Linked DNA regions of Macaca fascicularis. The protein of the gene in region 1 interacts with the protein of each later gene in a pairwise test. Links are inferred from orthologs where the notes say so. Each region holds a gene or a part of one and is shown in the gene's direction. Other genes may lie near its edges.

What was found.
Region 2: the proteins of FHL2 (region 1) and NIBAN1 interact in binary tests that used the Homo sapiens proteins (3 or more experiments, as listed by UniProt). The two-hybrid records come from large-scale screens. The link is inferred for Macaca fascicularis from reciprocal best matches to the Homo sapiens genes FHL2 and NIBAN1.
Region 3: the proteins of FHL2 (region 1) and BANP interact in binary tests that used the Homo sapiens proteins (3 or more experiments, as listed by UniProt). The two-hybrid records come from large-scale screens. The link is inferred for Macaca fascicularis from reciprocal best matches to the Homo sapiens genes FHL2 and BANP.
Region 4: the proteins of FHL2 (region 1) and ITGA7 interact in a two-hybrid assay, tested with the Homo sapiens proteins (2 studies listed by BioGRID and IntAct). The link is inferred for Macaca fascicularis from reciprocal best matches to the Homo sapiens genes FHL2 and ITGA7.
Region 5: the proteins of FHL2 (region 1) and NRF1 interact in binary tests that used the Homo sapiens proteins (3 or more experiments, as listed by UniProt). The two-hybrid records come from large-scale screens. The link is inferred for Macaca fascicularis from reciprocal best matches to the Homo sapiens genes FHL2 and NRF1.
Region 6: the proteins of FHL2 (region 1) and CSN2 interact in binary tests that used the Homo sapiens proteins (3 or more experiments, as listed by UniProt). The two-hybrid records come from large-scale screens. The link is inferred for Macaca fascicularis from reciprocal best matches to the Homo sapiens genes FHL2 and CSN2.
Region 7: the proteins of FHL2 (region 1) and RAI2 interact in binary tests that used the Homo sapiens proteins (3 or more experiments, as listed by UniProt). The two-hybrid records come from large-scale screens. The link is inferred for Macaca fascicularis from reciprocal best matches to the Homo sapiens genes FHL2 and RAI2.

What each region holds. Positions count from the first base shown.
Region 1 is NC_088387.1:9,816,298-9,820,207, reverse strand, and holds part of FHL2 (four and a half LIM domains protein 2), read left to right. Parts: intron 1-3,113; coding exon 3,114-3,293; exon of another isoform or gene 3,294-3,297; intron 3,298-3,910. UniProt on the Homo sapiens protein: May function as a molecular transmitter linking various signaling pathways to transcriptional regulation. Negatively regulates the transcriptional repressor E4F1 and may function in cell growth.
Region 2 is NC_088375.1:42,349,004-42,352,913, reverse strand, and holds part of NIBAN1 (protein Niban 1), read left to right. Parts: intron 1-1,042; coding exon 1,043-1,204; intron 1,205-3,226; coding exon 3,227-3,337; intron 3,338-3,910. UniProt on the Homo sapiens protein: Regulates phosphorylation of a number of proteins involved in translation regulation including EIF2A, EIF4EBP1 and RPS6KB1. May be involved in the endoplasmic reticulum stress response.
Region 3 is NC_088394.1:83,903,125-83,907,034, forward strand, and holds part of BANP (protein BANP), read left to right. Parts: intron 1-1,547; coding exon 1,548-1,664; intron 1,665-3,345; coding exon 3,346-3,521; intron 3,522-3,910. UniProt on the Homo sapiens protein: Controls V(D)J recombination during T-cell development by repressing T-cell receptor (TCR) beta enhancer function. Binds to scaffold/matrix attachment region beta (S/MARbeta), an ATC-rich DNA sequence located upstream of the TCR beta enhancer.
Region 4 is NC_088385.1:62,483,080-62,486,989, reverse strand, and holds part of ITGA7 (integrin alpha-7), read left to right. Parts: intron 1-209; coding exon 210-465; exon of another isoform or gene 466-782; intron 783-954; coding exon 955-1,086; exon of another isoform or gene 1,087-1,321; coding exon of another isoform or gene 1,322-1,358; coding exon 1,359-1,478; intron 1,479-2,378; coding exon 2,379-2,586; intron 2,587-2,719; coding exon 2,720-2,913; intron 2,914-3,271; coding exon 3,272-3,360; intron 3,361-3,474; coding exon 3,475-3,602; intron 3,603-3,752; coding exon 3,753-3,848; intron 3,849-3,910. UniProt on the Homo sapiens protein: Integrin alpha-7/beta-1 is the primary laminin receptor on skeletal myoblasts and adult myofibers.
Region 5 is NC_088377.1:171,159,477-171,163,386, forward strand, and holds part of NRF1 (nuclear respiratory factor 1), read left to right. Parts: intron 1-1,119; coding exon 1,120-1,234; intron 1,235-3,910. UniProt on the Homo sapiens protein: Transcription factor that activates the expression of the EIF2S1 (EIF2-alpha) gene. Links the transcriptional modulation of key metabolic genes to cellular growth and development.
Region 6 is NC_088379.1:63,990,024-63,994,550, forward strand, and holds the start of CSN2 (beta-casein), read left to right. Parts: upstream 1-1,388; 5' UTR 1,389-1,436; intron 1,437-3,640; 5' UTR 3,641-3,652; coding exon 3,653-3,703; intron 3,704-4,415; coding exon 4,416-4,442; intron 4,443-4,527. UniProt on the Homo sapiens protein: Important role in determination of the surface properties of the casein micelles.
Region 7 is NC_088395.1:17,706,605-17,711,314, reverse strand, and holds the start of RAI2 (retinoic acid-induced protein 2), read left to right. Parts: upstream 1-1,865; 5' UTR 1,866-2,069; exon of another isoform or gene 2,070-2,110; intron 2,111-2,579; exon of another isoform or gene 2,580-2,656; intron 2,657-4,710.

The sequences.
Region 1 (3,910 bases):
GGAAGTTGTCATAGAGAATCTGGGGATTTGTTTCCAGCTTTTACAATTCCACAATTTATAGTTCTCTGTCCTTTCATGGTTCTTATTTCAAATTCCCAAGTTATTATTCTTATGTTTGTGGGCACAGAATGGCCCATGAGCCTCTTGTCCCACAGCTAAATCACACCTATTATCGGAAAAATATATATGTTGGAAAAGCAGCTCTCAATTGCGATGAAATAAATGACAGCCACTTTCAAGGCCAATAACTGAACAATTACAGGAAAGCATTGAGTCTTGTGCCAACATGGCTGCTCCAACCCGAGATGGCCGCGGTACAAAGGATATTTATACGTTGGGTTTCAGAACAATAATTCAAGTGCTCAAGAGCCTCATCTTGTGATGTTATCACAAGAATGTCCAGGCAATGTTTTCTTTAACTCCAGGAAGAGTGATTTAGAAGGACGGATCTTGCCACATGTGTCCAGCTGCGTATTTATTGCTCTTGGAAGAGAATTATTCTGTAAACACAGAAATATCCAAGAATGGATGCTTGAAAGATGATCTTTTCCTTGCTTACAGTTGTCAGGACCGTGTATATGCAATAGTACAAAATTAATAAACTCTATCAAATTTCCTGTAATCATAAACCAGGCAATAATATTTTATTTGCATCAGAAGGTCTGATTCTGGGATTTCACTCTCCTATCGTTTGAAGACTGCAAATTGAACCAAGTGTTCTTAGAGCCTGTGAACTCTTGCTCACAGTTACATAGCCAACCAGTCTACCTATTTTTTTTTTTTTTTTTTTTTTGAGACGGAGTCTCACTCTGTCACCCAGGCTGGAGTGCAGAGGTGCCATTATCAGCTCACTGCAATCTCCACTTCCTGGTTTCAAACGATTGTCCTGCCTTAGCCTCGTGAGTAGCTGGCATTACAGGCATGCACCACCGTGCCCGGCTAATTTGGTTTTTGTTTTGTTTTTTGTATTTTTAGTAGAGACAGGGTTTCACCATGTTGGCCAGACTGGTCTCGAGCTCCCGACCTCAGGTGATCCACCAGTCTCAGCCTCCCAAAGTGCTGGAAATACAGGCGTGAGTGACCGCACCCAGCCCGGTGTACCTATTTAACAACAGAGAAAAGTTTCCACTTTTAGGAAATGGAATATTGCCATTTATTCCTGAAGAAACTTGTCTGTTTTTAATGCCCTACGGACGTTTCTCCACACCAGCTATTCCTGCGGTAGGCGTTTTCTCTCCAGGATCATTCTGACATGATTTTATAGGAATGGTCATAAGAGAAGGGCCCGTCCCTTGCTACTTATGCACACCGTGTATTCATCCTAGGAAAAGTACAGTGTGCCGGGCGTGGGGACGCCTTTTTTTTAACTTTTATTTTCGGTTCAGGGTACATGTGCAGGTTTGTTATATAGGTAAACTGTTGTCACAGGGGTTTGTTGTACATATTATTTCATCACCCAGGTATTAATCCTAGTACCCAAGTGTTACCTTTTCTGCTCCTCTCTCTCCTCCCACCCTCCCTCCCTGCTCAGGTAGACCCCCGTGTCTGTTGTTCACCTCTTTGTGTTCATGTGTTCCCTCATTTGGCCCCACTCATAAGTGAGAACATGCAGTATTTGGCTTTCTGTTCGTGCATTAGTTTGCCAAGGAAAATGGCCTCCAGCTGCATCCGCGTTCCCACCAAAGACATGATCTCATTGTTTTTTATGGCTGCATAGTATTTCATGATGTATATGTACCACGTTTTCTTTATCCAATCTGTCATTGCTGGGCATTTAGGTCGATTCCATGTCATCGGTATTGTGAAAAGTGATGCAATGAACATTCCTGTACATGTGTCTTTATGGTAGAATGATTCGTAATTCTCTAGGTGTATACCCAGTAATGGGATTGCTGGGTCAAATGGTAGTTCTGTTTTTAGCTCTTGGAGGAATCTCCATACTGCTTTCCACAATGGTTGAACTAATTTACACTCCCATGCACAGTGTATAAATGTTCCCTTTTCTCCGCAACCTCGCCAGTGTCTTGTTCCTGTTAAAAGGGCTTGAAGTGTTGCCCAGAGAGCCATTGACTGCAGCCACTGCATTTCTGACTATTCCATATCATTGTTTTGAGAAGTGAATCTTTCCCTTTATCCTGCTCTCAGGATACCTGGGCAGCTGCAGGATGATCTTTCCCATAGGGAGCAATGATTCATCCTCAGGGACTTTGGCAGTTTCTCTTGTGCAAGGTCAGCTTGCACTCCCAATGCAGCACGGAGGTCAAGGGTAATAGTGGCCTCATTGCATCTACTCTCAGGTTTCCCAGGTCAGATCTCCCTCCCTTTTGCCGCTGTGATTTCTTCCTATTCAAATCATGAATCATAAAGAGGAGCTCATGGAAAATCTTTTTATAGAAATGGACATATTATTTCTATGGCTGCCTTTCTATTTTGGGGGCAGGGAGAAGGGGAAGATGCAAGGCTGGGTCACAGCCGGACAGGATGGGGGCTCTGGTGCCAGCCCTTACCTGTATTTAAAACTGAGATAGCTTTTTCTGACACAGTAAAAAATAATTCGTGCTTTTCAAGAAGTGGAATGTGACCAGGTGTGGTGGCTCACGCCTGTAATCTCAGCACTTTGCTAGGCGAGGCGGGCAGATCACCTGAGGTCAGGAGTTTGAGACCAGCCTGGCCAACATGGTAAAAGCCTGTCTCTACTAAAAATATAAAAATTAGCCGGGCATGGTGGTGGGCACCTGTAATCTCAGCTACTCGGGAGGCTGAGGCAGGAGAATCGCTTGAACCTGGGAGGCAGAGGTTGCAGTGAGCTGAGATTGCACCACTGCACTCCAGCCTAGATGAAAGAACAAAACTCTGTCTCAAAACAAACAAACAAACAAAACACGAAGTGAATGCATTCAAACACAAAACTGCCTTAGCTAATGAAAAAGAAAACAAAAAAGGTGTTATCATTGAAAATTATGACCTATTAAAGGGTGAGTTTTAATTATTCATCCAGAGGAATTAACCATCTTTCAGCTAAAGATGGCAGACAGTGGGACAGTTAATGTCTTTGCGTGCATCTCTTTCAGAGAGTGCTTAATGGGACCTGGATTTTCTCTTCTTTTTGATAGGTTGCTGAAAAGGCAGGTGTCAAAATGACTGAGCGCTTTGACTGCCACCATTGCAACGAATCTCTCTTTGGCAAGAAGTACATCCTGCGGGAGGAGAGCCCCTACTGCGTGGCGTGCTTCGAGACCCTCTTCGCCAACACCTGCGAGGAGTGTGGGAAGCCCATCGGCTGTGACTGCAAGGTACCTGCCACGGGACTGCGGGTCCCCGGCTGCTCCCCCAAGAAACACGGGCTTCTCTGTGATTTGTGCTGAAGCCCTGATCCACCACTAAAGTCTGTCTCTTGAGCCCCCTCCGAGAGGTGTGGACCCTGCATGTAGCCTTTCGGAAGCTTCTTCCCTCTAGCTAATGTGATCTCTGCCCACAAGCACTGGGTGAAGGCCTTGCCAGGACTTTCGTGCTTAGTGTCTCTGAGTACATTCTCTGTGTTCTAGTTATTAGTGCCCTTATCTAACCACCCAGCTGCCTACCAACACTGTAACTTTCTTAAGGGCGGTGCTCTCTTCCTCTTGTCTGTTTGCCCCATGGTGAGTAACGCGGAGCAGGTGCTGTGCTCAGTCAATATTTGATGAATGAATGTGTGCATGAGAGAACCAGAGTGGGTTCCTGGATAAATGGGCACATAAAAGTACAAAGTCCTTGGAAGATTGTGGGCTCTTTTCCTTTAATGAGAGAAGGACAGGATTTGTATTGTTTCCTTTCAATGGGGAAATGCGTTCACGGCTCTCCTGGGATGGCACAGCGTGGTTCAGCAGAGACCACTGGTCACTTGTACCAGTATTTAACAGGCCAAGCATGA
Region 2 (3,910 bases), on another chromosome or scaffold:
TTTTAATCCTTAATTCCACTTCAGTGGACCTCTCCATAACTCACTTCATAAAGGGAGCAGTATTTTCCCTTTAAAGCATAATGAGACTGGGCCCTTTTAAAATTCCTGTTTAGAGAAACCTAGAAATCTAGATTATCTCTTCTGCGTAAGCTGAAAGTCAGACAGTGCATCCTATATTATTCATATGTACCCTGCCTCATTCCCCCGTTCCCTCTAGACCCTCCATTTTCGGAACCTTTCTTTCTGCCTTCTTCTGCTCCACCCATTCCCCTGTTTATTTTAAACCTCCAGTATCCCCTTTAAAAAATGATTTTAAAATAAGCTTGGAAAACAGAATGCATTCTGTTGCAACAACATTTGTTGATAACACTTTAGGGCTTTAGCAGGTGAGGTCTGATGCTGGAAGCCCAATGACCTCATTGATTGAGCGCAAACTAGAGTAGGAGGGACGCCAGTTCTTCAAACTGGATACCTCTCCCAGTTCAGGGCTCTGCCTCTCCACTTCCCATCCCTTAGCACCTGAAGCAACCTATAGCAGAGGGAAGCCCTGTGGGCCCTGGCAGAGCCTCATAGAATTGCGAGAAACTCTGGCTTCCCTTCCAAAGTCCGGGAGTCCAGGGAGCATCCCGACCTCCCTGGGGTTTTTTGAGAGGAGTGTCACTCACTAAAGAAGATTTTGGAAGCCTGGGGGCCTAGCAGCAACCATTTGTCAGAGCCTACCTGCCTGGTTCTTGGGCTCTGGAAGTGGGAGCTTGGAATCCATCAACAGCTTACAAAGACTGGAGTCCCCCTGGGTGCACCCCTGGGTCTTCCTGTCATCCAGTTGGTGTTTCTGCTGGTTTCTGTCCTACCATTACAGCTACCCTAGGAACCCACTGAAGGAGGAAAATAAGACAGTTGAAGGTGTCACAGATGTAGGGATCTGAGTAGTGATTCACTTTAACATGCATTTGATTGTTTAGAATGTATGTAATATGCAATATGTATGCAATACCACTCCTCAATCTGAGGGTGTTTAATGTTTCACTTCACCAAAATGCAGCATCTAGACCGGCTTATGAATCTTCCGCTGCATTCCGTGAAGATGGAACCTTGTTATACTAAAGTCAACCTGCTTCACGAGCGCCTGCAGGATCTCAAGAGCCGCTTCAGATTCCCCCACGTCGATCTGGTGGTTCAGAGGACACAGAACTACATGCAGGAGGTGGGTGTGGCAGGGGCATCCCTGGTGGAGGAGGGTGAAGAGAGAGCAGAGAAATGGGTGCTGACCAGTGAGACTGGCTGCTGGTGTAGCTGAGGGAAATGCGTCGCATCTCTTTAACCATCATGTTGGGGGAGGACATGTTCAGTCCCTCCACTGGCTTCATCTTCCTTCCATGTGGGTGAACATCATAGACAAGATATAGCTCAGAAAAATAAAGTAGCATTAATTGATAACTACTCGATTTGTCAAATCAGTGCTTTAACCTTGGCTACACGTTGGAATCACCTGGGGGAAATACTGATGTCCAGGCTGGAGGGCAGTGGCACAATCTTGGCTCACTGCATGCAACCTTTGCCTCCCAGGTTCAAGTGATTGTCTTGCTTCAGCTTCCTGAGTAGCTGGGACTACAGGCATGTGCCAACATGCCTGGCTAATTTTTGTATTTTTAGTAGAGATGGGGTTTTACTGTGTTGGCCAGGCTGGTCTCAAAACTCTTGACCTCAAGTGATCTGCCCACCTCAGCCTCCTGAAGTGCTGGGATTACAGGCATGAGCCACCACACCCAGCCTATATGGCTACTTTTTGATAGAACGTCCCTACCCTGATTCCAGCTGCTTCTAATATGCAGCCAGGATTGAGAACCACTGGCTTAAATTAATTCCGTAATGTAATTAAGAGCAAACCAATCAATCAATCAATCATAGCTTCATATTTGAATTTCTTGAGTCTGCTTGACAGGTTTCTTTTTTTTTTTTCATAAGGAACCTTTTCCCCAGTAACAGGAATGAATAGCACAAACTCCTTCCATATTATGGTGTTTCTTGAATGAACAAGGGGTGTGGTCATCAACACTCTAAAGGACACCATGCCATTTCACATAGATATTCTGAGGAGAGATTACTGTGGGCCAGACACTGTACCAGATCCCACTTCAGGGAGCTTGAGTGAGACAAATTCTTAGATAAATTCACTACAGCGTTGAAGGTATGATAAAGGTGTATATTGTGGCCAGGCACGGTGGCTCACGCCTGTAATCTCAGCATTTTGGGAGGCCAAGGCGGTGGATCACTTGAAGTCAGGAGTTTAAGACCAGCCTGGCCAACATGGCGAAATCCTGTCTTTACTAAAAATACAAAAAAATTAGCTGGGCATGGTGGTGCACACCTGTAGTCCCAGCTATGTGGACACTGAAGCATGAGACTCGCTTGAACCCTGGAGGCAGATATTGCAGTGAACCAAGAGTGTGCCACTGTACTCCAGCCTGTGTGACAAAACGAAACTGTGTCTCAAAAAAAAAAAAAAAAAAGTGTATATTGGATGCTTTGGGATCACGGGCTTGGGGAAGAAAGGAGCATTTTTTTTTTTTTTTCATAAAAGTTATGGACAGGATTAAGTGATACATTTTAGCTAACCCTTGAGTTGTGAGGGATGAAAGAGGAAGAAGGAACAAAATTGGGCAACAGTTTAGCAGAAGTCTCTTTCGTAATATTGGACCCTGGTGACGGGAACACAGGCAAAGGTGCAGAGAATAAGATACCTGAACTACTTCTGCTTTCTGAGCCATGAGCATGTCAGCCACTGTCCCCACCCATGCCTGACCCTTCCTGCCTTCCCAGCACTGCAGAGAGAGGGAGAGAGATGCTGCGGAGTGCTTTACATCCACTTAAAAGTGGAGGTGCAGCCAAAAACTAGTTGAAGAAGGCTCCAGCCTCATCCTCATCCCTTAATCAGTGGCTGCAGGTATCAAAGAATAGAAGAGGAGTACCCACAGGAGATGACAGAACGCTTGCTCAGTCCCATGGCCTTGGGTTTTCCAACTTCTTCCTGCTCCCACTGTGGCCACGTGACCATTTGTTTCACAGCCTTGGTGATGGGGTGATGTTGCTGTGGGTCACCCCCAGAGTAACAGCCGAGGGGACTCATCTCTGATGGCCCCTACTCTCCAAGCCCACTTAGCCAGCCTGTGGTTGGTGACCCCAGCCTCTGACTGTTGTCTGTTTCTGTGTCACTTCTGCTTTCTAGCTAATGGAGAATGCAGTGTTCACTTTTGAGCAGTTGCTTTCCCCACATCTCCAAGGAGAGGCCTCCAAAACTGCAGTTGCTATTGAGAAGGTTAAGCTCCGAGTCTTAAAGGTAAAACCGTTCTCTTGTTTGTGGGAAGCATAAAATGAGAACGTGACCCCTGTTTCTTTTGTGAAGTGGAAAATACCATGTTCTCTCCTTCGCTCTAATCTTTCCCCACTCCTTCCTCTCCGAAGTCCAGTGACTTGTCAATCTGCTGCGGTTTCTCCAGTGTGACTTCCATGCCTCTTCTGCCATCTAGTGACCACTGCTAGTCCTCAGTACCATTACCCACAGCTAGAGGCCCTGTGTCCCAGCTTTCATAGAGATAGAACTCGACAAACATTTATTGGCTGTCCACCATAAGTATTGTGTGGGATGTAAAAATAGGCAAGGCCCAGCCTCTTTCTTCAAAGAGGTTACAAATATGGTAAAATCCATTAAACTGGCAAATATTTTATTGAAAAATCAAAACCTCATGGCAAAGGAAATACTCCAAGGAAAAGAAACCTACCATATGAAATTGTTTTAAATGTACTTCAGCGTAAGTGTATATTAAAATAGCTTTAATAATAGGAGCTTGCGCATATGTTATATTTTAAAGGCTTTTACTTGATCCCTACAAGAACTTGTGCATTAACTGGA
Region 3 (3,910 bases), on another chromosome or scaffold:
CCTTCCCACATGCTGTGAGCCTAGGGTCCCGGGGCACCAGCCTTCTCACATGCTGTGAGCCTAGGATCCCGGGACACCAGCCTTCCCACATGCTGTGAGCCTAGGGTCCCGGGACACCAGCCTTCCCACATGCTGTGAGCCTAGGATCCCGGGACACCAGCCTTCCCACATGCTGTGAGCCTAGGATCCCGGGACACCAGCCTTCCCACATGCTGTGAGCCTAGGATCCCGGGGCACCAGTGTTCCATAGCCTCCACTTGGAGAATATACCAAGCTCGTGCAAGCCAGGTAACCTCTCCAGTTCCACATCTCTGAGGAGCATAGGACTGTTGCAGCCTGTAGGTGACTGTGGTGACCAAGCCAGCAGCCACCTGGGCTGCTTTTCATACCCGATCTGTAGGTCATTTATCAGGTTTTGTTGTGTTAACTTTAGGTGTCACCAATAACAAGTAGAGGAATTTTAAAAATAGTATTTTTGAATTAAATGCAGTTGATTATGCCTTTATTTTAGGAAGAAAACCTTGTGGTCCCGTGATTTACTCGGGCATGGCATGGCGCTGTGCTCGCACTCAATGTGGGGACAGTTACAGGGACGCTAGGCTGGATTTTCCTGTGGGCACATCACAGAAAGGCAGAGGCTTCCCAAGCTGGTTTTTGGAGAGTGAAGTTCAAGAACGGTGTTTTATCCTCAGGTGATAACCACTTTGTATTTCAAGTGCTAGTTCCTTCTCTCCCCACCCTTCCACAACAAAGTGTACCTTAGATATCCCTTGTGACCAGAAAGTGCTAAGGCTTAAAAACGCACAATTGAAATCTGTGGGTGAGTCTGCACTTTGAGATGAAGCTGTGTTAGCCCGCCTGTCTGAACACACTAGTGCTTCCTCCAGGGTGGCACCAGGTTTGGTGGTTTCTGGGCCGTGGTTTGTTCTTTGGTAGAATTGTTTCCTTCAAAGCAGAACCCTGAGCCCTGTGGTTGTGGCTCACACATGTTCCTGCACAACCTGGAGGCAGCACGTGTGTCCTTCCATCCCAATCCACTGTGATGTTTGCCCCTTTCTTTCTAGGGCGCTACCGTTTTGGACGATACCAACACTTACATGGTTACGAACGTTAGATCTGTACCATAGGAATTAGTTGGGATGGAGTGACTGAAAATGTCAAGCCGGTTTTCGTGCAAGTGTGTCACCCCAGAAGCTTTATTAACTGGGTGTGATAACAGCTGGTGTGGTCGCAGTCTGTTCTGTGTCACACACTCAGCATCCTCATCCCGGCTGTCCTGAGCCTATCCAGTTGTGCAGACAGAACACCAACAATTAGGAAAGTTACGCTGTTAAAAACCCCATCTCCAGTTTATTCTTCCTTAGCGTTTGGGGCTCCTCCCCGCTCAGGACGGGTCCCTGGGAGTGGACTGTGTTGAATGACTCTTAGGCCTCCCCCTCACTGCGGGTCCCTGGGAGTGGACTGTGTTGAATGACTCTTATGTGCTCTTACCATGAATGTTGTTGTTTTAAGGCCTTCTTTTTCTTTGTGATTCTTTTGTTCCCTAGCGTCGTCCCCCAGACTACAGTAATACTCAACAATGATCGGCAGAACGCCATTGTAGCCAAGATGGAAGACCCCTTGAGCAACAGGGCACCGGATTCCCTGGAAAATGTCATTAGCAAGTCAGTAGCACGGCACCAACCCCACCTTTCCCTGCCACTGTGAGGAGTCCCGTGAGAATAAGTCAACGTCCCCAAGCCAGGGCACAGTCCAGCACGCACTTCATCTCTGTGGTCACAGGGTTGAGCTTGGCAGGCACCGCCCCAGCTCTCTGAGGTCGGGGAGGGCAGGCTGGGTGATGCTGAGTGCTGAGTCCAGCCACACCAGGGGGCAGCTGCCGCCGGGGACTTCCGTGTCTCGTGCTGGCTGGGGTTGTGGAGGGGGCTGGCTCTGTCTCCTCACAGCAGTCAGTGAAAGCATTCATCCTCCCACCTAGCTCAGTGGTCCTGACGTCTGTCTGTCTGTGCAGAGCGTGTCAGGCAAACAGACACCCTCTCCCACGATTGCTAAGTGGTGCAGGCATGTTGAGTTTATGACTTTTTTCTTATGCCTTTTTCTCTTGAGACATTTTGAACGGAACTTGGGTCAGAGGTGGGAGTGGACAGAAGACGCCATCCCTGCCCTGTGTGAGGGGAAGGCTGTGCAGTGGCCTCTGGCTGGCATCCGGGCCCTGCTCTCCCCAGGAGTGCCCCTTAGGGCTGCGTGAACCCCTGAGGATGCTCTTGCTTTTTCTTTCCCATCTGTGTCTTCACAAAGTTCTATTTGCTTTTTCTCTCAGTCTCCTTTGTGGATTGCTCCTCCTCCAGCTTCGTCCCCTTTCCGTATTGTCTTAGCTCAGTTCTCCAGGGCTGCAGCTGTGGTCACGAGGGTCTGATACGTGGGGTGAAGGGAGAGGAGTTGGTGATGGGTGGTGAGGAGGTGCCAGGGTCAGCTGTGCCTCGGGGGCTTTGCGCTGAGGTCAACCAGGCAGATAGCCAGTGTTGAGATCAGGTTCAGCATGGACAGCGCTCTGGAGAACCCAGGCCAGAAAGCGCAGAGTGCAGCCTCCTCTGGGTGCGGCCAGTGTTTTCAGCACCCCTTTTTTTTGACTTTGCAAATAGAGAAATTGTGGTCCTTTCTCTTCTGGTGCGTAGCAGTCCACGGTAGGGGATGTTGAAAGGGTCATTAAAAAAGGGAAGTAGTAAGTCTCTAAATCATCTTTTTTTTGAGCACTTGTGGAGCTGGCCTCGCCCTGCTTTGCTAGCGGTGTTCTGTCTTTCCACATCAGCAGCCCTTGGGATGATGGCAGCTCCGATGGGATCTCAGTGGGTTTTTTAAGCCCCTTCAGGGTTTTTTTGCCTGTGGGCATACTTGGGAGTGCTGCTTGCTTTGCAGAGGCGGAGCCATCTCCAGCACGCCCAGCAGCATGGATCGAATTGACCCAGGCCTCTGGGCACAGTCTTCTGATTTAGTCTTTCCTTTAACCTCGCCTGAAAAAAGACTCCTACCAGCATTCTATAGGTTGACTGCTGAACTCAGAAGGCAGCATACTAGGCCTGAGTCCCAGTGAGTTATGATTTTACTTCTTTTGTGATACAAATATTTTCTTTAAATGGTTAAGTTTTATTTTATACAGTTTCGTTTAGCCCCGGGCCATTTTCTCCTATGGAGTTGCTATTAATCTTGGTAGAGAGAGCGGTCTGGGAAGGCTGTGTGATCCACTGGTCCATGCAGAGTTAGATCTTGTGATAAGGAAAGCACTGACCTTCGCGTGCTGCTTGTGGCTCTTACCACACTGGGTTGGTGTGTTTTTTTCCCGTTCAGCGCTGTGCCTGGGCGTCGGCAGAACACCATTGTGGTGAAGGTGCCGGGCCAAGAAGACAGCCACCATGAAGACGGGGAGAGCGGCTCGGAGGCCAGCGACTCGGTGTCCAGCTGCGGACAGGCGGGCAGCCAGAGCATTGGGAGCAACGTCACCCTCATCACCCTGAACTCAGAAGGTGCGTCCCAGGCGTCTTCTTTCCTTGGCCAGAGCAGCAGGAGGATTTTTGTTTGTTTGTTTTGCTTTTTAGAAATTAATTTAGTTGTTTTTTAAAAAAGTGATACAGTGGCCGGGTGCGGTGGCTCACGCCTGTAATCTCAGCACTTTGGGAGGCCGAGGCAGGTGGATCACCTGAAGTTGGGAGTTCAAGACCAGCCTGGCCAACATGGAGAAACCCTGTCTCTACTGAAAATACAAAATTAACCAGGCGTGGTGGCAGGTGCCTGTAATCCCAGCTACTTGGGAGGCTGAGGCAGGAGAATCACTTAAACCTGGGAAGTGGAGGTTGCGGTGAGCTGAGATCGTGCCATTGCACTCCAGCCTGGGCAATACAGCAAAACTCTGTCT
Region 4 (3,910 bases), on another chromosome or scaffold:
GCTGGGTTATGCACGGACCTTCGTAACATTGGCAGGGTAATGGTGCTTGAGTGGTGCCGGCATAGCGGTATGTGTGTGTATGTGTGCATGTGCGTGTGCGTGTGAGCACACACGTATCAGTGTCTGCCAAATCTCTGCATGTGGGCAGCATGCCTCAAGCAGGTCCCTGGCCCACAGAGTGAAATGATCCCCATCCCTTCCTCCCCCAGACCTGTGCACACCGATATGAGGCAAGGCAGCGAGTGGACCAGATCCTGGAGACACGGGATATGATTGGTCGCTGCTTTGTGCTAAGCCAGGACCTGGCCATCCGGGATGAGTTGGATGGTGGGGAATGGAAGTTCTGTGAGGGGCGCCCCCAAGGCCATGAACAATTTGGGTTCTGCCAGCAGGGCACAGCTGCCGCCTTCTCCCCTGATAGCCACTACCTCCTCTTTGGGGCCCCAGGAACCTATAATTGGAAGGGTGAGTCACTCCTCGGGGAGGGGAGAAGGGGACCGAAACCTCCTCTTACCTCGGAGAAATGGCCAAGCATGACCACATGTGCACTGCTGTATGGCCCCAGGGCACTGCCATGCCTTCCACCCCCACTGAGCTAGTGCACACGTGAGTGGGGGGTGCCTCCTTTCCCTTGCACGGCCAAGTGTTCCTCAACGTGCTGGCATGGGCCCCAAGTGCACGCTGGGCCTGCAGCTGGGGCCTGCATGCTCCAACACACTAGCCCACACCTCATCACTGCCATTCCCGTCTCCGCACGCTGCTGCTGGCTGAGCTGACACTCGGTGAGTGTGATGCCACATCTGGGGGACCCCAGGAAGCCTGGGTTGGGAACAGGGTGGGGAGAGGGCTAGAAAGAAGAGGAGGGGCTTCCCCGTGTGCCTGTCTAACTCAGTGTCCAGCTTGAGGGGTATTTCTTGCACCCTGCCCTGGGCACTAACAGGACTGTCCTTGCAGGCACGGCCAGGGTGGAGCTCTGTGCTCAGGGCTCAGCGGACCTGGCACACCTGGACGACGGTCCCTACGAGGCGGGGGGTGAGAAGGAGCAGGACCCCCGCCTCATCCCGGTCCCTGCCAACAGCTACTTTGGTAGGGACCCCTCCCCGGCCCAGAGCTGCTCTAACCCTCTGCTCCTCTCTTTTGTCCTCCCTCTCCATGCTCCCATCCTTCTGTCTCTGTTTCTGTCTCTCACCCTGTCTCTCTCTGTCTTTCTGTCTCTGGCTGTGATCTCTCTGGTCTCTTTTTCTCTCTCTACCTCTTCTTCTTCCACCTTTTTCTGGCCTTTCTGTGGCTCTGTCTCCCTACTCTGTGGCCCCTCCTCTGGATGTCCCGTCCCTGGTGTCTGCCCCTACCCCCCACAGGGTTGCTTTTTGTGACCAACATTGATAGCTCAGACCCTGACCAGCTGGTGTATAAAACTTTGGACCCTGCTGACCGGCTCCCAGGACCAGCCGGAGACTTGGCCCTGAATAGCTACTTAGGTTTGTAAGCTCCCACCTCCTGGACTCTAGGGGCATGGCCTGGCCTCCCCTCCTTCCCCAGGGAACTTGACCTTTGGTGCCTTATAATCTCCTCCTCCCCCAACACACACCCAGGGAGACACACATTGGGCCCAAATTGCAGAGAAGAGCCGGGTCCAGTGACCAGGCCTAAGAAGAGGAGGCCCCAAGGGTGATGGCCTCTGGGGCTGTGAGCCAGGGATCTCCAGGGAGGAAGATTCAGGTGGAGTGAGAGGGCCAGGGCTGAGGATATCCTGGGAAGGACAGTCCTGCCTTCTAGGGGGACTTTCCTTGAGGGATGGATGGTGGGCACATATTGAGGAAAGGGCTAGTGGTGTTGGTAAGTCCCTCTCCTTGTCTCATCTGCCTCCCTCTGCAGAGGAGGAGGAAACCAGGCCTGGGAGATGTTTGGGTGAAGCAGGCTCTCTCTCACTCCCCCTTGTCTCCCCCTCATCCATGTGAAGACTTCCCATTCCTGTCAGGATGAGGGAGTGGGGAGAAGAGGTGCACTGGGTGGGATTCGGGCCTGAGAGGGACCTCTAGCTCTTCTAGCTCCCTGGGTGTGGGCAGGATCAGGCCACTGTGCTCAGCCTCCTACCTGGGCTCCTGGCCTTCTCAGCCATCACCGTTCTGTCTCCTGCCCATTCCCTGAGGCTGACCTCACTGCACTTTTTGTGCCAAGCTTGTCTCTGGGCCTGGTGGGTGTGGGGGGCTGCCAGGCCCTGCGGGAAGGAAGAGCCATCCAGCTGTGGTGCTGATGACTTGGGGAACCTATCTTTTGACTGTTAACCTAGGGGAGGGGCAGGGGATGGGGGAGCTGTGACAAACCCCAGCTTCTGGGTCTTGGGGTGAAGACTTAGGGGTAAGTCACCCTTTCCCCAGGCTTCTCTATTGACTCGGGGAAAGGTCTGGTGCGTGCAGAAGAGCTGAGCTTTGTGGCTGGGGCCCCCCGTGCCAACCACAAGGGTGCTGTGGTCATCCTGCGCAAGGACAGCGCCAGTCGCCTGGTGCCTGAGGTTATGCTGTCTGGGGAGCGCTTGACCTCCGGCTTCGGCTACTCGCTGGCTGTGGCTGACCTCAACAGTGATGGGTGAGTGGGTAGAGGGCCGTGCCACCTGAGGGAGGCTGGGTCCGGTAGCCCCATTCTGGCTGAGGCCACTCAGCCTCCTGCTGGCTCCTCTGGCCAGGGAGGACCCGTACTGAATGTTTCCCTCTCTCCATAGCTGGCCAGACCTGATAGTGGGTGCCCCCTACTTCTTTGAGCGCCAAGAAGAGCTGGGGGGTGCCGTGTATGTGTACTTGAACCAGGGGGGTCACTGGGCTGGGATCTCCCCTCTCCGGCTCTGCGGCTCCCCTGACTCCATGTTCGGGATCAGCCTGGCTGTCCTGGGGGACCTCAACCAAGATGGCTTTCCAGGTGTGACTGGGAACTGAAAGGCTCAGGGGAGGGAGGGGCCGCAGGAGGGATGGGGAAGCCCCTCAGAGGTCAGGGTGCGGTCTTCTGAGGACTCCGGGAGTGAGGGTTCCTGGGCTTATGTCTGAGCTTTACCATTTACCGGCTTTCTGACCTTGGCAAGTTACCTAACCTTTTTGCGTTAGTAATGTCTGCAGGGAGTGGCCAAGAGGATTAAAGATGATGTACGTAGAGTGCCTGGGATTTTGTAGCCTCTCAATAAAATAGAAAACATACCTGAGTGACTGGGGAAAAGTTGAGGCCTGGACCTTGTCTGCAAGGCCCCCAGCCAGGGTGACTGCCTTTTCCCTGTGCCCTGCAGATATTGCAGTGGGCGCCCCCTTTGATGGTGATGGTAAAGTCTTCATCTACCATGGGAGCAGCCTGGGGGTTGTCGCCAAACCTTCGCAGGTGAGGGGAGTCGCTGGGATGAGGGAATGGGTGTGGGTGGAATCAGCAGAGGCATCGGGGAGGCAGAGGCCTGAGGGAGTTGGGATCGAGGGAGGCTGACAGCCGGTTCTCTAGGTGCTGGAGGGCGAGGCTGTGGGCATCAAGAGCTTCGGCTACTCCCTGTCAGGCAGCTTGGATATGGATGGGAATCAATACCCTGACTTGCTGGTGGGCTCCCTGGCTGACACTGTCGTGCTCTTCAGGTGAGCCCCTCACCACCACTTCTCCCTCCCTGAGGGTGTCAGCCCCTCCCTGTGACTCTGACCCCCATCCCGGTGCCAAATCTAATGCTCAAGATTGTTTCCCAGCCTCACGTTCTCACATTTCTGGTGCCCTTGACTCCCCAATTCCAGGGCCAGACCCGTCCTCCATGTCTCCCATGAGGTCTCTATTGCTCCACGAAGCATTGACCTGGAGCAGCCCAACTGTGCTGGCGGCCACTCGGTCTGGTGAGGCAGGATGGGGTGGCACCTGGACCCTGGCAGCTTCCCCTGCCCTCCCTTTGATCCCT
Region 5 (3,910 bases), on another chromosome or scaffold:
AGATAATATGTTGAGTGTTCTTACCACAATTTTGAAAAATAAATAAAATGTTGGGAAACGCAGCAATAAAATTTTTTCCATAACAGCTATTTATGATGGAAAGAAAGGTAAAAAGCAGTCGTTTATTTTTTATTTGCTTTGAGGTTCTTTAGAGGGGTTTATTTAAGTCAGGCTGATTATATTACTAACAACATGTAGAAAAGTTCATTTAGGTTTACAGGGAGGCTTATTTTATTTGAGCCACTTAGAATATATATGCCAATATACAGATGAGCAATTAAATTTAATTTTTATTTAAGCCTTTTACAAGATTCACAAATAAAGATAAAGGTAACATGCCTTTTAAAAAAGATTGTCTTTGATATGTTGAGGTCCCAGGAATCAGAGACTTCAACAGTTCCTTAGAGTCTACCCTCCATCTACCCTTGAAAAGACAAAACAAGACATTATTAGTTTCAGGGCAAGCCAGACTAACTTTTATTAACATTTTCTCAGAGTGGGAAAGTTATCTCTTTTCTGCCAGAATGCCTTCATCAACTTGACCTTGTGTTGAACATCTCCATTTTTGGCACAATTCCCAGATATACAAGAAAATTTTTTCAATTACGATGGTATTCATTCAGATACTCCTTTAGGTGTTGTTGGAGTTCCAAATGTGAGTGATTATCTCCAACTTCCTTAACTTGGCAGTGTCTTGGAGTAATGGAAACAGGGACACAGGGATAGAAGTAAAATCTGTAAATTTTTTCAATTTTGGCAAGCTTTTCCTCTTAGTGCTGCAATTTTTCCTAGCACCTCTAAGAATATTGCCTTAACAGTATGGGCATGCTGGCAAAACAAAGCCAAACAAAAACAACATTATACAAAATTCAAACTGGTGTGTGGTGGGGAGGTGTAAATCATTTGCTTTTTTACAAGATTCATTATATGTTTTATTGGTAAATCACAATATGAATCATGTTAAACAATAGTGAAGTATATTGATAATATCAGGACCATTCTATATTTACTGACAACATATTGGGAACGCAGTGCTACCTTTTTTGTACCTTTAATTGTTTCTGTCTTGAACAGTTTACAGGCAGCTGCCTAATCTCAGCACATACGTTATTATTTCAGGTCCTGTGGGAATGGCCGCTGCTGCTGCTGTGGCAACAGGAAAGAAACGGAAACGGCCTCATGTATTTGAGTCTAATCCATCTATCCGGAAGAGGCAACAAACACGTTTGCTTCGGTGAGGGCTCCCTTATCCATATTATTACTATTCCTCAAATACTTCCTGTGAATGACAGACTTAGAACATATATGGTTAGGTTTGTCAAGGATGCTTGATTTGATTCCTTGATGACAGATGTAGACTTAAAAGTATTCTTACAAAATTAAATACATGAAAACAAAGAAATATGATTTAACAGATATGTAATATCACATTAATCCATTCAGAAAAGTTGTATGCCTGCTATGTGCAAGCCATTGTTGTAGACATTGGGCATAGAAGAGTGAACAAAACAAGTTGCTTTAAAGAGCTTGTATCCTGCTAGAAGGGGGAAAGAAAAAAAACGATATGCAATATGTCAGGTGATGATAAGTGCAATGGGAAAAAAAATACAGTGGAGTAAGGAAAATAGAAAAGTCAGGAGGTAGGGGGATATAGTCATTTTTCTCTTTTATGAGGATGGTCTGAGAAATGCTTTTTGATAAGGCAGCCTTTGAACAGAGACTTGAAGACGCTGAAAGAGCACACACGTTGATACTGAGGGGAAGAACATCTCAGGCAGGGGGAATATCAAGAACAAAGACCCCAAAGTGTGAATGTGGTAGTTGTTTTTGAGGAACAGCCAGGGAGATATGAGAAGATGTTCGGAGTAGTAGAGAAGAGCCACTCCAGGAGATCTTTTTTTTTTTTTTTTTTTTTTTTTTGATAGATGCGGTCCTGCTATGTTGTCTAGGCTGGTCTGGGACTCCTGGCCTCAAGCAATCCTTGTGCCTCATCCCCAAAATGCTGGGATTACAGGTGTGGGTCACTGCACCTGGCCTAGGAGATCTTCTTGACTCTTACTCTGAGTGAGATGAGATGTCAGTGTAGGTTTTTGACCAGAGCAATGGTATCATCTTACTTACATTTTTAAAGAATCACTCAGGCTACGGTGTTGAGAATAGAATCTGAGGATACAAGAATGGAATCAGGGAGACCAATTAGGTGGTGATTATAGTAATCTAGGCCAGAAATGATAGTGTCTTAAAATCAACATGGCAGCAGCATGGGTAGTAAGAAGTGATCAGGTTCTAGATGTATTTCAAAAGTCAACTCATCATGATTCATTGACGTGGAGTGTGCGAGAGAAAAAGGAGTGCAGGGTGATTTTTGGTCCGATTACTAGAAGGATTGCGATGGCATTTACTGGAGAGGGAGCAAGCATGACAGTGAGGGTGAGACAGAATCAGGAATTTGGTTTTGGACCTGGTAAGTTTGTGATGCCTCTAACCATTAAGTGGAGATACAAAATAAGCAGTTGGATATATGAGTCTGGAATTCAAATGAGAGGCCTTAGTTGAAGATGATATAAGCATATAAGTAGTATTTAGAACTAGGAGACTGGATGAGGTCACTTAGGGAGGGAGTACGGACTGAGGCCTGAAGCGCTCCACCTTTTGGAGGTTAGAGAGATGAAAGGAGCCAGCAAAAGAGTCTAAGAAGCAACCAGTGAGTCAGGAAACAAACCAAGAGAGTGGTATCCTGGAAACCAGGTACAAAAAGTGTGTCAGGAAGGAGAGCATGTGATCAGCTATCAAATGCTTCTGACAGGTTGAAAAAGATGCCAACTGACCATTAGATTTAGTAACATGGAGTTCACGAATGAACTTGACAAGAGTGTATTCAAAGGAGCGGTAAGGGTGAAAAGATTGGAATAGCTTTAAGGGAGAATAGAGAGAGGGGAATTAGAGACAGTGAATATAAACCATTGTTTCAAGGCATTCCATCAGATTTCTTGTTTGATAAGTGGTCCTTTGCTCACACATTTCAGAATTCTGAAATGTAGAACTTTGAAATCATCTCCCATGATTTCAGAGGGAAGAGGCTGTGTTTCTGTTTCATCCATTGTTACTATGTTTTAAAAAGCTGTTTTTGGGTTGATGGGTACAGCAGACCACCATGGCATATGTATACCTTTGTAACAAACCTGCACATTCTCTACATGTATCCCGGAACTTAAAGTAAAATAATTTTTTTAAGCCGTTTTCGGCTGGGCACGGTGGCTCACGCCTATAATCCCAGCACTTTGGGAGGCCAAGGTGGGCAGATCACCTGAGGTCGGGAGTTCAAGACCAGCTCGGCCAACATGGTGAAACCCCATCTCTACTAAAAATACAAAATATTAGCCAGGCATGGTGACAGGCGCCTACAATCCCAGCTAGTCGGGAGGCTGAGGCAGGAGAATAGCTTTAACCCAGGAGGCGGAGGCTGCAGTGAGCCAAGATTGCACCACTGCACTCTAGCCTAGGTGACAGAGTGAGACTCCATCTTAAAAAAAAACTGTTTTCATTTCATCCTCACTTGTGAAATACTGTAGGACTGAGAATAATTGTTTATATCACAATGAAAATCTGAAGCTACAACGTTTTAAAAGCATAGGTATACCTTGGAGATATTGCAGGTTTGGTTCCAGACCACTACAATAAAGCAAGTAGCACAATAAGTCACAGAAATTTTTTGGTTTCTCAATGCATAAAAAAGTTATGTTAACACTATACTCTGTTAAGTGTTGCAGTGGTATTATGTCTAAAAAAAGCAATGTACATACCATAATTTTAAAATGCTTTTTTTTTTTTTTTTGGAGAACAAATTCTAGCTCTCTTGTCCAGGCTAGAGTGCAGTGGTGCGATCATGGCTCACTGCAGCCTCCATCTC
Region 6 (4,527 bases), on another chromosome or scaffold:
ATAGAATCCAAGAAATTTTACAATCCATTTTTCTTTCAAATCTCTAATATATTTGCTTCTAGTGAATTATGTCACAGTGCATGTCTGACATGCACAGTCATCCATGATCTGATGACTCTGCAATTGTAACTTGTATTGTATGCTCTCTGAATATCCCCAAACTTGGTATATTGCTCTTTCAGTTCCTGTGTTTTCTTCAGCCAAAATACCTATCCCCATTTAATCATCTCTCAATATTCTACTCATTCTCTAAGGCTCAACTAGAAGAGCAGTTCCTTAATGGCAAGCTCCCCTGCCACACTCAGCACAGAGGCCTTACTTTTCCAATTCAGGCATAATTAAATTCTACATATTTCCACCAAATGCTACATTGATAGATAAATTTTATTTTAAAAATCAGGGGGTTAAGACATGGGCTCTGGGACTCACATGTGATCAACCAGAATCACATGTAGTCAGACAACCTGGGTCCAAATGATATCTTTGCCATTAACAATATAGTTTTGAGCAAGTTACTTAATCTTTTGGCATCTCTGTTTTCTCAACCTAAGTATGGAGAGGAGAGCTACCTCATGATGTTCTTGTGAAGATTATACAAGATAACGTCTTTGCTTAGTGCTTGGCAAAGGGTTAGAACTAAGTAAAAAATAACCATCATTAATATTATCATAATTATGCTTGACATGAAAAGAGATAATCAATATTAAAAGGTAAATAAAACTCTGTGATACTTTGCAAAATTTTTATTACAGATTTACTGAAGATTTTGCCTTTACTAGCCACCCAGATTCCTTCTTTGAGTTGTTTCATTACAGAGGAAAGTTTATTTATCTTGTGTATAAAATATTTGTTTTAACTAAATAATTTATATATTTTTTCCAAATCAAGTGGCCCTGGGAGAAAAACAGTTTGCCTCAAATAACAGTTTGCCATCACGGACTTGTTATCTTGTCAGTTTTTCATTTCAACATAAAGCACTGACAACTGCTCAGGTTCACATGAAACTGTGGCCTTTGTGAAGCCCTGTGTATCTCTAGCGTTCACACACAATTTTCCCACAACTGAAATCTCAAGGCCCCACTAAGCCCTAAAGAGATCTAATTATGTCCATAATAACTTGGGGACAGGGCCAGAGGGTCACTGTCCTCCAGTCATTGTCTGTTGTTATTGAACAGTTGCATTTCCTGGACAGGTTTCCTTTATCAACTTGTGAATTGTTCCCTTGTTACAATGATCCCCAGAATTTGTGGGGACATATAATAGGCAGAAATCATTTTCTAATCATGTGGACTTCTTGGAATTAAAGCTCACTGTTGATCTTATTTCAAACCACAAAATTAGCATGTCGTTAAATATTGTATATAAACAGCCACAGAAGCTGATAGACCATCATCTGTCCAGCACTACCTTCACTTCTCTTCAATCTTGGAAAAACGGTAAGAATTTTAGATACGGATTTGTTGTATCTTCTCCTAACCACGTATTTCAAAGTAGCTTGAGCTATAGAAAAAACATAGTTGCTTAAAATATAGTGTTTGAAATAAAAGTATTTAAGGTAGTACTGAAATTATTTTTAACACTTAGGCTAAAAAAGATAGAAGTGCCCAGAAGAATTTGGTAAAAAAATTGCAATGACGTATAGCCTTCACGAGTTTAAGAAAATGTAATAACTAATTTTATGCATATGTATATTTAGTATGAGGCTAGTTCATAGTTAATATTAAAAGGAGATTCATTTTTGAATTAATCTTCCAATTTGATTTAGCATATCACAGCCATAAAAAGAAATATACTTAGATTACAGTGTGGGTAGATAAATAATTACTGGAAAAGCTTTATCCAACAGGTAGTTTACAGCAGTAGCATACTGAGTCAAGAAATAGAGGGAATGGTTTGAGGGCATTTACTACTTTAAATATTTATAAACAATGTTTTCAGAAGAGTTTACTCATCAAACTTGTCTAGAGCCTCAAATTTCCCAGTTTATTATCTACTTTGTAACATTTCAGAACAATATTAAAATGAGACAGAAATACAGAATTAAGTTAAAAAGAAACAATGTGATTTACTTTGTAAGAAAATTCTTAATGGGGTAGAGAAGACTTGGAAACCATAAACAAAGATAATAGATGATATAAAAGAAAATAGCTCAGAGCGTACCAGTCGATAAAGAAACTCTGACTTAAAAATTAGTATATAGTATATTTATAGTATATAAATTAGTATAAAAATTAGTATAATTGGTATTAGTATATATTAGTATATTTGTATATAAAATTAGTATAGTAATTATATATTAGCATATAAAATTAGTATATATTAGTCGATTAGTAATAAAATTAGTAAAGTTTATAAGCAGATTACTTATAAAATATAGAAAATGCTGTGGGATCCTCCCTAAGTGCAATTATATACAAAATAGAGTGCTATATTCTTTTTCTGAACCCCGACATAAAAAATTTGGAAACTTATGGAGGTCTTAGGCAAAGCAAAATTAATAAAAAAATATTTAACATTCATAAAAAATCTAGAAAAAAATTTATTTTCCATAATAGAGAGAATTATGTTCAACTTTCAAATATTGAAAAGAACATTTTTCAAATAAATTAGAGACTTTTTTCATGAAGTATTTTTAGTTCAAAAATTGAGTTTCAAAATCTGAAAATGAAGATTTGAGTGTCAAGTAATATTGTGGCATAAACATTATTTTGGAATTAAAAAAATGTAAGAACACATAACAAGGAGATGATTTCGTATATTTTGGTCATAAATGTTAACATATATTTCACAAGAAGAGGTAGTCCCAAGCTGGACAGTGGGCAAGAGGTCCTGACTCCTTGGCAGATCATCAAGAGACCTTTGTGTACATTTTAATACAGAGAAGAGAAGAAGCCTAGTGTATAATCTCTAAAGTCATGGGGCATAAAGGAGAACAGATATTATTAGCTATGTGGGGAAGATGGATATAAACAGAGAAGAAACAAACTTTATAGTCCAACAATTCTCTGGATAGTGACACAAATAAGGAAAGTGTTAAAATGAAAATCTCAGTCTTATTGGAAATGAGGAGAAATAATTAAACTAAAATATTCATGGTAACCGTTTAGTGAAAATAAAAATATAAAAATAAAATGTGACTTTTTTGTACACATTTTCTTGATTAGTCTCTTCCAGTAGAACTGAGGCTCCATCAGGGAGTAATATCAGGACTGTAATATTTTGCTCATTGCTGCAGTCCTGGTCCCTAGACAGTGTCTGGCAAGAACAGATTCTAAGGAAATATTTTTATATTAATGAATAAATCTTTCCATATATATTTATAACTTCTTTATGCCTTTTGAAAAATCAATACTGCAAATGGGACGTTTTTAAAAGTGGGGATGAGTTGTTAGCTGAAATATCTGAATAGTTGGCAATGAAGTTTGGAATTTGATAAATGAGAATAGCAAGCCAGAATAGATTTTGACCTGAGTCATATGATATAACTTCTATTTAGTATTTATTCTATTTATTTTCTAAAATGTAGACATTTTTGTCATACATTATCTCTCTTTTTTATAAAAAGTAACCTTACCTAACTAAATAAGAAATATATCCAATTAACCAATCTATCACTATTCAATTTTTTCTCCATTCACAGGACTTAGTAGCCATGAAGGTCATCATTCTTGCCTGCCTGGTGGCTCTTGCTCTTGCAAGGGAGGTATGTGCACAAGAAAAAATTCATAAAAATCAAGAAATAGTGGACTATATGCCTATTTGTAGAGAATAACATCACCAACATTTTTTACTGTATAATAAAGAAGAATTTCATGAAAATTATCTTGACTTCTATCAAAATCATTTATATTTACCCACTGTCTCAACAGTTTCCTATAGTGCTCCAAATGCTTCCGACACCAATGTGCTGCTAGTCACTAAAGAAAAAGCAAACAAATCAATAAGTAATAAAAAATCATAAAAATGGCAACAAATACATGCATAAATAACTCCACAGATGCTCAACCTAGATAAACATATCTTATTCCAGTCATAAAATGTATATATATCTTATAGCCTAGGGCACTGGGTCCAAGTCTGTCTATACAAAGGCATCCATAGGATGAAGTACAGACACAATCATAATCCTAATCATACATTCATAATAATATAGTAAAAATATTTAATACAAATTAAAGTGACTCAACCATCAAAAACTGTCTTTAATAAATGTAAGATAAAAGTATATTAATAAAAATTACTAAATGTAAAAGACATTAAAGCAATTACCTTTCAAGCCTCAAAAGTCATATAACATTTTTAATTTGTCACATTTGTGAAAGAGATAGATCTGCATAAATGATGTAAAAATTAAGTAGGATACATGTTTAACAATGTGTTAGCTGTAGAAACTGAATTTTTAAACATCTTTTCAGAAGGAACAATCCAGTGCATCCTTTGAGGTAAGATTTTTTTTGTTTAGAGAAAATTTATGAACCATAAAATAGTAAAATTCTCTAATGATCTAGAAGATGTAGCTGGTTGTCA
Region 7 (4,710 bases), on another chromosome or scaffold:
TTAATCTGAATCAATATAATCTTTCCTGAAAACACAAGCACCTCAAAGGGCAGCAAATATGAATCACAACTGCCAGTGAGGATCAAACATTAACCCAGGGTTGCGATGAGGCCAACAAAAGAAATAGGCTAGTAATTGCCTTCCAGGATATCAGTCCCTACCTTATACACACATACCCCCTCAACACACACAAAACCTTTATGGATCTTTCATCCATGAACTTGCCCAATTATAATTGCCCAGCTGTGTCTTTAGTTGTATTCAGACTAGGTCTTGGCAACCGAGACCTCACATACCTTATCCAAGAACTTCTATAGAGGAAGTCTTTGGTTACTGAAATGATTGAAGACACATTCATAGACAAATATTTCCACAGGTATCATTAATTAGTTGGGGCTGATTTTAAACTCCCCAAAACCTGACTGAAACAAGTAGAAACTGACACTTTCTGTTGATATTCATTATTATCAATTCTTAAACTTGCACTGTGTGTCTTTCCACCCCTGTATGGTCTGGGTACTCCTTAATTTAACTCTTATTTTTCAAAAGAGGAAATTCAGTATCAAGGAACGGTACTACCAGGGCTGACTTCTCCCTTAAGCACAGTAGACACAGTGCCTGGGGCTCATGGTACTTTTAGGCACCCACATCAATCTTTTAATTTCTTTTAAAATCAGAAGAAAAAATGTTTTTTAGGTTGAAGAAACTGTTTTAATATATAATACTATTATATTCATCTTTACACCAATGCAATTGTAAAATGTAATTTGTAATATCTTTCTATGGAGGAAGGAGTCCACAAAGGCAAAAGTGCTCAACACAGTCATCATTCAGCCTCAGTTACTACCACCTTATGCCTGCAACACAACATGGTTAGAATAGAGCCTTTCAAACACAAGTTCAGGCTCCCATACTAATTAAAAACTGTGTTATAAAACTCAGATTTGATAAGAGGAAAGTCATGGTTAATACACATAGTATTGGAACTTCAGGGGGCTCGAGACTGCCAAGAACAGCTAGATTCATTTTGTTCTGTGCTCCGATTAAAGAATTTCTGCTCTGCTATTCTCTCTCAAATATCTTCATCCTGTTTTGATTAATAGAAAAAATCTTTACATCTTTGGAGAATCATTAAACTAATTTGGTTGCTTCCTTGGCTGTCTCAAGAATTCTAAGGATTTATTGTTTTCAATTTTAAAATGATCAATAGTACAACTGACACCTACTACTTATTTACTGGTCAGCAATCATACAGTCACCGTCCCTGTAACTCCAGTTCTTAGCCCAGTATCTGGCAAACACTAGGCGCTTAATAAAGGTTAGATTTATACACGAATCACCTCTTGGATGGAAATTACATTATGTAGGTGGACTAATTTGATCTTTCCTAATCTCCCACCTTGTGAGAAGCATCTTTCACCGGTATCACAATTGGCATTTTCTTCACCGGTATCACAATTGGCATTTTCGGGTGATCGCTGGGCCCTTCCCACCTCCCCCGCTTCCATCAGCCAGCCACTTCCTCCCTCCTGGGCTCTGTTCTTCGCTCTTCTCCATCCTGGGGTCTGGAATGGTCCCCAGCCCCCCGGGAGGCAGTAGGGTCCCAGCTCCTCAGGCCCTCCCCCGGCGTTCCCCCCAAGGTCCCCCTCCCCGCCCCGGACACCCCTTCCTCCTGGCACCCCGCGCCGCCCACGGCCACGCCCTCCCCGTGGGCGAGATCACCTGTCCCTCCTCCGCCGCCGCCTCCTCGGGTACCCTTTAGCCCCCCTCCTGCTCCCCCTCCTCCGCCGCCTCCCCCAAGCCCTCCCCTTCCCCGCCTCCTCCCACCCCTTGGTGTATATAGTAAAGGCCGGGCGCCGCACGCAGACACACACTCGCCCGGACACAGGCGTACACACGCTCACGCACAACCAGCAGCGGCGGCGGCGACAGCGGCTCGGTGACAGCGGCGACGGCGGCTCCCACCGCGGCGCACCCCCTTCAGGCGGCCGGCGGCGAGGCCAGACCGGAGAGTTCCCGCACCCGCGACCACCCCGCGGCTTCCTGGAGGCGGCGGCCGCGATTGCGAGGTAGCGGGCGCGGCGCCCCCGTGCGGGCCGGGGTCACCCCCGCCCTCCCCGCGGAGCTGCCACTGGGACGCAGGGGGCGCGCCGGGCTGGGCGCGCCTGGCGGGGCCCGGCGCCCGGGGAGGGGCCTGCTCCCGGGGGCAGGACGGCGCCCGGAGGCCGGGGCCGGCGGGGAGGGCCAGGCTGGGGCGGGGACGCGGGCCGAAGCCGCCGCCCGTGTGGCGCGCCGGGGCCCCCGCTCCTGTCCCCGGCGCCGCGCACTGGCCGGCGGGGCCGGGGACTGCCGGGGAGGCGGCGCCGACCGGCGGGGCGGGGGCCCCGAAGTGGGTTTCGGGCAGCCGCCCGCGCTGGCACCGGGCGCAGAGGGTGGTGCACGGCGGACTCTGCGCCCGGGCACCGCACCGGGCAGTCTCCGGATCTGCCGTTCTGCCCCGGCCCAGAAAACCCGGCGCCTTCCAGGCCCTTCGAAAGATGGATTCTGTTGACGTATCTGGCGGCCCTGGCGAGCCTGGTGGAAAGTTGGGTTTTGCCAGATTGCGCCGGGCTCCTCTTTGTGACGCGCGGCCAGCCCCGCATCCCCCCGGAGCCGGGTGAGTGTGCGTCGGCGCCCCAGGAGCCCCGGTGCCCCCCAGTGCCCAGTCCTGGGGTGGCCGCACCAACTCGGGCTTTCTGCCATGTTAGGCACTGAGTAACGTTCTCGCTGCATTTTTGCGTGCATTTCAGTGGCGCCTTTTGCTGCGGAGGGAGTTATTGCTTCTCTCCGCTGTGGCTTTTTCGAGGTTGGGGTTGTGCTCTGTGTGTTTGCTTGTTTGCCATTTAAAGCCCAACTATTGTTCAGGATAAGCTCCGCCTGGGTGGGGAAATGGCATCCCACCACAGTTGCTGGCGAGGGGCAGAAATGTTGCCAAACAGCTGCTGCTTTGTGTTCCCCTATCAGAAGTCCCTGGAGTAGGTTTGGGGCACGACGGATGGATGGAGAGAGGGATGGGGCACGGAAGAAAAAGGTGGCTTTGGAGGAGCGGATTGTTACCCACACCATGGCACTCACTCAGTCTCCCTTTCTGCCTGCCAAACTTTTATGAATATTCCTTTTGTGGCAGAGGGAAGCTTAATGAATTTAGCCCAGTTTTCCAAGGAAAAAGCAACCCAGCTTTAACAATGGTTTGATAACTTAATCAATGAAAAAGGCAGGAGAGGAGGACAAGGAGGCGCCGACACCATATCGGGTATGTGGCTGCTGCTTGCAGAGTCAGGTAGAGGAAAGGTGGGCAGGGCACGGCGCAGCGTCTGGGTGACCGTGTTCCCGGAACTGTTGGTAGCTCTCACCTGTGCCCGCTGGTGCCACCCACCGTCGTGCCCTTACGTCCTGGGCTGTTCAGAACCCAGCGATGGGGTTTGAGGGGCGGCTTTCGGCAGTGCGTGGCCCGGCCCCCCTCATCTGGCGTTTTTAAGGATGTGTAAATATTTTGCTGAGGATAAGTGACATCAACAGAATGATATTCCGCAGAGCCCGGGTGTGCAGCGATGATAAATAGATATGGCCAAACAAAGTTTTGATAACCGCGTATTCTCATGGCTCTCTCTGTTTCATTTGGGTCTTTGTTTTTGTTGGTTTAGCATTATCTCGCATCCTCTGGTGTGATCCCTTTATTTAGCTGATTCTTGGAAGCTTCTCTTTAGAACAGAGAGAAAAGCAGCCAGTAGGGAGAAAACAATTCTTAGCCTCACATGCATCAGGCAAGATTTTCTGTGCTTTTCCCAGGGAATCTTTCCCACCGTTTTTTAGATGTCTCCCTTATGTCTCTCTTGCTCCTTTGGAGTCATCAGAATTAGTTGTTGGTAGACCGAGACACTTGTGATAACTTTGAAAATGTGGTGTGGACATGCCTTTGTTACAGTAGAGGGGTGGCAAGGTGGGGGGGACAATATGGAAAGGGACAGTATGGAGGCTAGTTTTCTTCTCAAATGGGAACATGAGAAGCCAGGGGTGGACTGGAAGGCAGAGAATCGTAAGCTTGGTGGCATCCCAGTTTCTCTGCCTCTTACAAGCCCAGAGAAGCCACCTGCCCCCACACCCCCACATACACACAGTCTCCTTCAAAGGGACACTCGCTTCTCATCCTGACAGATGCCCACTAGAGGCATCCCCAGGGCAGCCCAGGCACTGTGAACCAAGTCAGACTAGAACTTGGGGATAGTGACTACTTTGGCACCAGCCCAGGGGACCATTCAACTACCCAAGGGGGTTCCTTTATGATGAAAAAATGGTAAGACCTCCATTGGTGATGTTTTGCCCAGGAAAACCTGTTCATCTGAGGAACAAATGAAAAGACAGTTTTCCAGGTGATGCTGGTCGCTGGGGTGAGAACTCGGTTTGGTGGGCAGTTGGGGAAGAACTGTAAGATACATTTCAGAATCTTGTATCCAGAATACAGAGTCCCTGAGACAGGACCATCTGAATTACAAGAAAGAAAAATCAAAGACTGGAAGGTGTGTGAGGAGCTGTTGCTGGGAGTGCTCTAGCTGTAATGACCCGGAAGCTGAGGATAGGACTGGCCTACCAAATCCATTGACCCAGAATGGAGATATTCTGGATGTACAGAAAGCCCTGCACAGTGTGATCCAAATTTATGATAAGAAAATA